Coturnix japonica: one gene and its partner. The protein of the gene in region 1 purifies or fractionates together with the protein of each later gene. This does not show direct contact. Links are inferred from orthologs where the notes say so. Each region holds a gene or a part of one and is shown in the gene's direction. Other genes may lie near its edges.

The links.
Region 2: the proteins of AKIRIN2 (region 1) and IPO9 purify together in Homo sapiens (affinity purification with mass spectrometry; 3 studies listed by BioGRID and IntAct, counting the BioPlex papers as one, with this or other methods). This does not show direct contact. The link is inferred for Coturnix japonica from reciprocal best matches to the Homo sapiens genes AKIRIN2 and IPO9.

The regions. Positions count from the first base shown.
Region 1 is NC_029518.1:69,560,407-69,565,235, forward strand, and holds the start of AKIRIN2 (akirin-2), read left to right. Parts: upstream 1-1,728; 5' UTR 1,729-2,175; coding exon 2,176-2,374; intron 2,375-4,829. UniProt on the Homo sapiens protein: Molecular adapter that acts as a bridge between a variety of multiprotein complexes, and which is involved in embryonic development, immunity, myogenesis and brain development.
Region 2 is NC_029541.1:953,622-958,564, forward strand, and holds the start of IPO9 (importin-9), read left to right. Parts: upstream 1-1,643; 5' UTR 1,644-1,663; coding exon 1,664-1,832; intron 1,833-3,489; coding exon 3,490-3,551; intron 3,552-4,124; coding exon 4,125-4,211; intron 4,212-4,624; coding exon 4,625-4,826; intron 4,827-4,943. Other genes in the region: KDM5B (lysine-specific demethylase 5B), read left to right, coding at 411-548. UniProt on the Homo sapiens protein: Nuclear transport receptor that mediates nuclear import of proteins, such as histones, proteasome and actin. Serves as receptor for nuclear localization signals (NLS) in cargo substrates.

The DNA.
Region 1 (4,829 bases):
AAGAGTCTGGCTCCATTCTCCTGACATTCCCTGGATGTGTTTAAGAGCCGTTTGGATGTAGTACTCAGGGATATGATTTAGCAGAGGGTTTTTAGAGTCAGAGTACTGATTAGGCTGCGGTTGGACTTGATGATCTTCAAGGTCTTTTCCAACCTGGGTAATTCTATGATTAGCCCTTTTCATATTTATAAACATTAATGAGGTCACTCTTCAGTCTCCTACAAGCTAAAGAGACCCATCTCCCTCAGCCTTTCCTCATAAGGGGGATCCTTCACTCCCTTATCATTGCTTATGGCTTTGTGCTGGACTCTCTCAAGTAGTTCCCTCTCCTTGAACTAAGGGGCCCAGAACTAGACACAATATTCCAGATGCAGCCTCACCAGGGCAGAGCAAAGGGGTAGGACAGCCTCTCTGGACCTATAACCACACCCCTTCTGATACACCCCAGGATGCCATTGGCCTTCTTGGCCACCAGGGCACCATGCTCGTTCATGATCATTGCAGGGACTCTTCCAACTCAGATGATTCTATGAACATTGCGCCCAACACAGACATTTCTCAGTACACAGATGATGGCAGTAGTGGCAGTCTCAGCACACTCCAAACTAAGGAATTGCCTCATGCACATGCTGAGTGACTAACAAGTTCCTCAATTCAGCCTCAGCCTTGCTTGGTGAGGCGCTCAATAAGTATACATGAAACTGCTGCATGAATACAGGGAAACTTATCTGCTTAGGGAAATGTAATGGAAATTGCAAATTAAATGAATGGAAGGAAAACCAGCTATCATTATTCCTAAGAAGAGCATGCACAGAAGGAGTTATACCGGTAAAGTAATAGTTGGACAATTACAACACTAACAACATCAGTGCACTTCCTCAGCCTCGTTCTGTTTTAGGAAGGCTTGTCAGCATCCTCCTCACTAAGGAAATATTCCGAGTATCTCTGTACAGAGGAAAAGATAACAGATAATAATGACCCAAAAAGCATTAAAACGCTCCCTGTTTAGTCTTCTGAGGACAACATCTCGATGCTAACCCTTAGATTAAGGCTCATAAAAGCTGAAGTTACATGCATTTTAAGGCCTAGCAGCTCCTGTTGGCGTTTCCCCTGTGCTGAACTGTGACACAGTTTCCTTCGATTAGAAACAGGAAGGAGCTCAGCTCTTGCCACATAAGGCTGGAGCTACAAGCGCTCTGTCAGTAATGGAGCCTGAAGCCTGGAGGCTGCTCACAGCACGGCCGGCTCTAACCGAGCCCTCAGCTGCTATCTCTGCCCCTGCTCTCCCCTCACATGATGGCACTTGGCCCTTACTGCAGCCACACCGGAGCTGCCGACACGAGTCCGAGCAGCCCCACAGCCGTGCCGCAGGGCCTAGCACACACACCGTGTCCCCCTGCCCCTCGCCGTGCCCCGGAGCCTGTGGAGAACACCCCCCCCCCCCCGCCCCGAGCCCCTCAGGCGCCACCATCTCGCTCCCACCCCCAACCGCCCTCCAACACACCCGACCGCCGCTGAAGGGGGATTTAAATCAGAACCCGGAAGCCGGGCAGAGCGGCGCGGGGCACGCCGGGATTTGTAGTTCCGCCGCCCCCAGAGCTCAGCCCGCCGCTGATTGGCGAGGAAGGGGAGGAGAAACCACAATTCCCCTGAGCCTCCGCGGCCGCCTGCCGCGGCAGGTGCGCAGGCGCAGTGCGGGGGGCTGGTTTTTGAATCCTCGGCGTTGTTATTGACGCCATATTGCTGGTGCGGGAGTCACAGAGGGGAGCGCCGCCACCGCCGCCGCTCGGGCCCAGCCGCCATCGCTCGTCATCGACGGCCGCGGGCCGGATAACCGGGCCCGGCTCCTCACCCCTCGGCCCAGCGGCCGCTCCGCGACCTTCCGCGGGCGGAATCGGCCCCGCCGGAGCGCGGGGTACGGCGGGACGGGCGGCGACAGGGGATCCGGCCGGCCGAGCCGCTGGGGGCAGGGGCCGCTCCCCTGAGAGAGGCCGATAGGGAGGCGACGGAGGCCCTGACGCAGCGGCCCCCTCCTTCCCCCGTCTCCCTCGCTCCCCTCCCTCCCTCCCGCCCCACACAGCGAGGAAGGCGCCTCCGTGTAGGGCCGCTCTCCTCTCCGTCCGCCCGTCCCCCGTCTCCGAGCCCCGCTCCCCGGCCCGGCCGCCGCCCGGCGCCATGGCGTGCGGCGCCACTTTGAAAAGGACTCTGGATTTCGACCCGCTGCTCAGCCCGGCGTCCCCGAAGCGGAGGCGATGTGCGCCATTGTCAGCCCCGGCCTCGGCCGCCGCCTCCTCCTCCTCCTTCGCCTCCCCGCAGAAATACCTGCGCATGGAGCCCTCGCCCTTCGGAGAGGTGTCCTCCCGGCTCACCACAGGTGAGGGGGGAAACGCGGGGGGCTGCGGGCAGGGCGTGGGGGAAAGAGGGGGTGCCGCGGCTCCCCCCCACCGGGGCCGTTTTACGTCGGATCGGCGGTTGGCGGGGGCCGGGGCCGGCCCCGCTCGGCTTTGGCAGCATCGCGGCGGAGACACAATGGAAATGGCCGTTTGCGGCAGGAGAGGGGGAGGAGGGACGGGGAGGAAGGGGGGCGGGTAGCGCCGCTGCGGGCGGCCGGCACTGGGAGAGAGAGAGGGGTCGGGGCGGGGGGGGCTGCGGACAAGGTCCGGGCGGGGGGAGTGCGGGGCGGTGGGCACGGAGGAGGTTCGGTTTCTTTATTTTTATTTATTTATTTATTTATTTTTAATTTTTTTTTTTTCTCCTCCTTCCCCCCGGTGCTGGGAGAGCCGCAGGGCCGAGCCCGGTTGCGGAAATACCCGGCGGGGCGGGGACCCTCTCGGAGCCCCCCCTGCCCTCGGGGTGGGGGGGGGAGAGTCTGTCCCGGGGGGCCGCCGCCCCTCGCCCAGACGTTGTGGGGGGGCGGCCTGGAAGGAGGAGGAGGAGGAGGAGGAGGAGGAGGAGGGGAGGGGGGCGGGGAGCGCGGCTGGTCATCAATCACCAGCAAAACGCCGCCGGGAAAGGCCCGAGCAGATAAAACAAAGGGGCGATCCCGTGTGCGGGCCTTTAATGCTCGTCGCCGCTCCGAATGTGACCCGTTGTGCGGCATCCTTCAAGTTTCGGGCGGAAAAAAGCGTGCGATGAAAGCGGTTATGTGCGAGTGTGCGCTGCCTCCGGGGCAGATAAAATGAGAGCGAGCCGTCTCGCCTCGGAGACGTTGGGCGAGAAGGGTGCCCGTGCTCTTAAAGCGCGAGGGGAGGTGGTTGAGCCGGTGGCTCTGAGCGCCGCGGGTCTGCCCGTGACACGGTGCAGGGCTGAGCTCGTTGGGCACGAGGAGAAGAAAGGAGCGAGTGTTGGCCGGGCCTGTGGGATTGCAGGGGAGTTGGACTAGATGGCCTTCAGAGGTCCATTCCTACGAAGGATTCGATGATTTTATGACTGATTGTCCCTTCCTATGGTTACTCGTTGGGCAGCTTCCAGTAACGCACTCACTTTGTGCTTGCAGCCAGTAGTGGTGGCGGCGATGAGGTATTAGATCTTTGTCCTTTGTGTGCAGAAAGGAGCCCTCTGTAATTGTCGCAGCTCTTTGCGCTGCTGCTTTCTGTGCAGAAGTTTGCCTCAGAATCCTGCTGGTGTTGAGCAGGCGGATGAGCATTTTGCTTTCACATTGCCATCCACGTAGGGGGAATTCTTTATTTCAGTATTCCTACTTCGTGAAACGACAGCATATGCAGTAGAACACTTCTGGGTTGGTTTTTTTTTGCAGTTTTTATTCAGATATTACAAAAAGAAAAGGGAAAAGCTCAGAGGGAGGGAAGTATATGGAGGGCATACAAAGTACTCGCACTTGGCATGGATGCCTTGCTATTTTTTTGAACCTCTAGGAAAAGATCTCGAATGAGTCAGCGGTCTGCGACGAGCGCTGTGCACTCCCCAGTACAGTAAGGCTTTATGTACGTACTGAGATAGGGCTTCACAACTGGAATTCATTTGATTCTTTCTAGAAGATGCGTGGCTTCATTGCAATGATTTATTCTGGTTTGTTACCCTGGGATTTGGAGAGCTGAGATGATGAATATTGAATAGAAGTGTCATCTGGCCAGTGCGTGTGTATTGCTGGAAGGAGATGAATCAAGAAAACGTCCTGCAGAGATGATTCCTATGGCAATATTTGAGGTTATACCTGAATTCCTGTCATACTGTTAGTGATTGTGGCCCTTAAGAACAGAGACGTCACTGCAGCTGAGCAGATCCAGGCCTCATCTCTTGATAAAATCGGAGGCGCGGGCTGTAATCCTTGTGGGAACGTGGTTCTGTACCAGTGAGGGTGTTTTGTGTGAGCCGTGATACAATAAATAGTGGTTCCAAATGTCTGTGAGCCATTGAGTGCTCCTGAGCGAGGCTCAGTGTGTCTGCAAGTTGTGCACGTTTACGTGGCTGTTGTGTAAAAGCTCCCTCTGTTTTCTGTTCCAAGCCAAAGAAATTACACAGGAGAGTGCAAATGTCAGTGTGAAGGAGCTTGCTTGCTTTTTCCTTTCAGCTGAATTTAGGGGTATCATGGCATGATGAAATGAAATATACCCAGTGGACAAAATAGAGCTTTAAAAGGGGTCATTTGAAACATTCTGTGGGATTTACTTCATCTAATTTTGTAAATGCACATCTGACCTAATAATTTGTGGGATTCTCGATAGTCGTGCAGAAGAAATGGATGGTTTATTCTACAGCTCTGCCTGGGGATGAGGCTGAGGGTCCTTGAAGAGTATTCGCTGCTCTCCATTGGCCGTAGGATTAATTGAGGTAACCATTGCTGATGCCGACGTGTACATCTGGGTTGG
Region 2 (4,943 bases), on another chromosome or scaffold:
CAGTGTGAGGGTGGGGAGGGGTCACAGTCTGGGGCTGGTCCTGCCTGAATGCCCCAGGAGCAGCAGGGAAGGGGAGCAGGGCCGTGCATCACAGCAGCAATGTGGGGCTGCAAAGGGACTGGGGGGGGTGAGTGGGAACGTGTTCACTTCCACTCCTGGAATATAGTCACAGCCCTGGAACTCTGTGCTAAGAAATGGGGAAGGGTGGCATTGCCTGCAGCGTGAGGGGCTGGGGTGCATTTCCATCCATACCCCTGGATGGGAGGGGGGTTTGTGCTTCATATGGAGCTGGGCTGCAGTGATTTGGGTGCCTGGCGTGCAGTGGGTGCTGTGTTCTCATTAGGATCAATGGGGTTGAAAAGCAACTCCTGAGTGCCTCTGAGCCGCAGTGTGTGTCCATTCCTCCTTAGGTGGACTGGGTCCAATGCGACGGCAGCTGCAACCAATGGTTCCACCAGGTGTGTGTGGGCATCTCCCCCGAGATGGCTGAGAAGGAGGATTACATCTGCATCAGCTGCGCCGGGAAGGGCTCCCCGTACAGAAAGTGAAAGTGCCAGCAGAGCCTTCAGGACTGGAGCAGAGAGAGCTGTGGAGTTTTCCATTGGAGAACCAGGCTGCAAATGGTGCTACTTGTATCCTCACGGGATCATTTTCCAGAACTCCAAACGAGTTGTTTTGTTGGGTTTTTTTTGGGTTGTTTTTTTTTTTTTTTTGACACTTTTTGTATTCTCCCCTTTGATCTCTTTGTGGTTGTGGAGGTTTCAGGAGCTGGATGGTGGGGTTGGGGGGGGGGGTTGGCGGGGTCTGGGCCGACTCAGACGGCACTGATGGGGGAAGGGGCACCTTCCTTCCCTTGGACAGCATCGATACCTCTGGGATGTGCAGCCCCACAGCGCGGGGTCGTTCCTTGTGGGAGGAGCTCCCTGTTTACTCTGTTCTTCACCCTTCAGAAGACTTTTTAGCTTTTGGGTTTTTTGGTTTGTTTCTCCCCCCCCTCCCCCTTTTTTCCCTCCCCTCCCCCCCTTTGTTTTCGGTAGCTTTAGGTTTATTTATCTGAGCAATAACTTCTATGTCTGGTTTCAGCGACCTGATTGATTGACAGCTGGGGGGGGTCGGCGTGTTGCTTGTAGCATTGGTTGATGTACAGAGGGCAGCTGGTAGATCCCATAGTGTGGCTGAGGGGCCGTGATGTAGAAGACATAAAGGATTAAAAACAAAACAAAAAAAAAAAAAAAAAGCTCTGTAAAGTAAATTGCCACAGCTGTATTTTGGCTTTTTCTCTCCTTTTATTTTTTTTTCGGTTTTTTTTTGTTTTTTTTTTGGGTAGCTTGTATCAAACGTTGCAGTTTATATTGTGGAATAAAAACCCCTGGTTATGTTATAAAATGAGATGGTGTTTGTAGAGCTGCTCCAAAACAGAGGGAACCCATTCAAAATCGGGTTCGGGGTGTGGGGGGGGAGGGAGGGGCTCGGACACGCGCACAGCCGCGGACACGCGCATACCGGACACGCGCACCCCGCCCCGCCCACCGCTGCAGTTCGTCCTCCTGGCCGCCAGGGGGCGCTGTGCTCGGTGCCGTCCCTACGCGACGCGCGTGCGTGCGTGCGTTTGGCGCGCGGCGGCCCCGTATCCCGCGCGGCGGCGGCGGAGCGTGAGGGGGCGATGGCGGGAGCGGCGGCGGCGGGAGGAGCGGGAGGAGGCGGCGGAGCGGGCCCGGTAGCGCAGGGACTGAAGGAGGCGCTGGTGGAGACGCTGACCGGGATCCTGTGCCCGGTGCAGGCGGTGCGAGCCGCCGCCGAGGAGCAGGTGAAGGTGTTGGAGGTGACGGAGGGTGAGTGAGCGCCGGGCCGCGCCGCGGGGCTGTGTGAGGAGCGGGGCGATGTGGGGACGGAGCTGGGCCGGGAACGGGCAGCGCCGCGGGGGGTGGAGCCGCCACAGCGGAGCCCACGGAGGCCCCGACCGCGTGTGGGGCAGCGATGAGCGGGAGCGGGGCGGGGAACGGCTGGGCACGGAGCGGTGTGTGGCCTACACCGGTGTCTGCTGTACAACAACCGCACACCGGCCCCGTGCGGCCTCGCTGTGGGGTCCGGCCGGGCCCTAATGGCGCTTTGCCGCCCCTGCCCGCTCTGAAGGGGCCCTTCGTGCCGCCTGAAGGTCTGTCAGCTCAGAAACGTCAACAGAGGAACCTGACGGTAAAGAGAAGGAAGGTGGGGGGGTGTGACTGGCCGGGGCTGCTCCCAGGGGACGTGAGGATGAAGGGAAAGTTTATTGTTGTGGTCTGTGTGTGACGCTCCCGTGGTGCAGTACAGGGAGATGAGTTTGTTACCAACGGGGCTGTTGGGTGTTTAGAGGTGGTGGTGCAGCGGTACGGGTCCGGCAGTGCTGTGTGGGATGGGCAGGAACATGGCAGAGCTGAGCTCTATGGATCAGGGAGATCCAGGGGACGAGGAATGGAGTCATGGAGTCACAATATCACAAGCTGGGAGGGACCTGAGAGCATCACTGAGTCCAAACCCATCATCTACATGTCACAGCTTTATAGATATCCCAGAGTAACTTTGCACTTCACTGCTGTCCTCCCTAGGGCATCACAGCTCTGAAGCTTTAATGCCTTCGCTTGGGGGAGGCTCACCAGGCTGCTCCCATGGAGTGGCTCCAAACAGGTTCAGACTGTGTGGATCGGGGGTGCTGTCCTCCATGAGCACTGCCAGCCTTTGGAGCACGCTGTCCAGAGAAGCTTTGCTGATTCCAAGCTTGAAAATACACTGAGCAACTTGGTTTGACCCTGCTGATGCTGCTTTGCTACAAGGGTGGGCTGGAGGCCTTCTGGGTTCCATTCATCTGCGTTACTTTGTGCTGTTGGGAGTCGAGGAGCACAGGAGGAACGAGCCGTATCCTCCTTGCAGATGCTAAGAGGAGGAGCAAGAGCAGCACTGTGTTGTTGTGGGAAAGAAATGTAGATCACGTGAGTCAGGAGCGCTTTAAAGTGCCATAAAGAAACCAGAAATATGCTGGCATTGAGCATGTTTTAAAGGTAGAACACTGGAAGTAAAAACAAGGGCAGTGCAACCATTAAATTCATGGAGTCACAGTTTGAGTTGGAAGGGGCTCTTAAAGGCCATCTGGTCCCACTCCCCACCACACACCTGGACACCCACAGCCCTGTCCTGACCCAGGGATGAATAGTTAGAGCTGCAGCCATGGGGAGCCGAGTACATCTCAGCCTGTGCTGGTTGTTAACCTGAGCTGCAAGGTTTTAACCCACGAGGGAAAGAAGTGAGATGCTGAGACAACAAATGAAGTTTGTGCAGAGAGCACAGGGGAGGATGAATGCTCAGCAATTTATGTGAGAAGCTCTGCACTAGAATTGTCTTCTCCATCTTACATATGAGTCACACTGTTGGTATTGTGTCTTCCCCCTAAAGTCTCGGTGAGTTTCCCTGCGTGGGAATGAAAGTTCTGACACAAGCATTTATTCTGTGTTGCAGAGTTTGGTGTCCATTTGGCAGAGCTGACAGTGGATCCACAGGGAGCGCTGGCCATCCGGCAGGTGAGCTCACACACACATGGGCAGCACTGCGCTTTGTGGGGCCTCCCACTGTGTCCTGGGGGAGCTGGAGGTGGTTTTCCTTTGGCCCTCCATTTTCCCTTAGTTTCTATGGGTTTATCACTTCTTCCTTCAGCACATCCAGGTGTGCTGACCTTTCCTTTCTTGAAAGCAGCACTTTCTGGGCCTGCCCAGTGTGGTGCTGGCTGTGCACAGTGGGCACCAGCAGCAAAAGTCCTCTTCTCTCTGCCACAGCTTTTCCTGTTGGTGTTTTCCTCCTTGCAAAGGAGGTGTAGGTTCTGTGTTTCTGTGGTTACCATGTGCTCTATATCTCGTGCTCTTGTAGAGGTGAGAAATAGCTGCCTTCTGGTGTCAGCAGTGTGTAAGCTGTCGCTGTGTGAGGAATGGCCATCAGTTCAGCTTTTTACTGCTATGGCTTTTTCAGCAGTGTGACAAGGACTTTTTGGTCCAAGCAGTGTGATGGGATGGGGGGGGGGGCTGAGCTGAGGGGTTGGGGGTGGTGCTTGTTGTGGTTATGAGATTTGTTCCTAATTTGTGACCTCTCTTCTAACGCAGCTGGCATCCGTCATTTTGAAACAGTATGTGGAAACTCACTGGTGTTCTCAGTCAGAAAAGTTTAGACCTCCAGAGACCACAGAGAGGGTAAGGCTTTGCTTTGTGTTTCCTGGTTTAAGATGCTTTATCCACTAAGAATATTAACTGGTTCTCTGAAATAGATCTTGGGAATGGTGCCCCAGAAGCACTGCCCTTTTTCCTTCTGTCCCTTCTGGGCTGGGTGCCTGGTTCTCCTTCACCCAAATCTTCCAAAGAAAGCAAGCACAGGCCCTGACATTGGAACCAGTATTTATCTCAACAAGCCCTGGGTGTCCTCCATCCATGTCTGCGTCCTGCCTTGTTGCAGCTCTCAGCAGTTGCTGTGTTCCTGCCTGAGGGCTCTGCATGAGGCGAGCACTACATTACAACGCACCCAGCAGCCTTCCCTAAAAAGAAACACAGGGTGCAGTCTGCAGGGTTTGGTCTGGAGATGTTTTGCTAAACACTGTGGTTCTCTACAGGCAAAAGTTGCTATTAGAGAGCTCCTACCCAATGGGCTGAGAGAATCCATCAGCAAAGTGCGCTCGAGTGTTGCCTACGCAGTGTCAGCAATCGCCCACTGGGACTGGCCTGAAGCCTGGCCTGAGCTCTTCAACCTCCTGATGGAGATGCTGGTTAGTGGAGACGTGAACGTGGTGCATGGAGCCATGAGAGTGCTGACAGGTACGTGTACACAGCAAGGCTGCCCAAGGAGGTGCTCCAGGCTTTTCCTTACCCCCAAGCATTCTGTCCCTTTGTACTGCAAATTGAGCTAAAACTTGCTGCTGCTGCTCTGCAGGG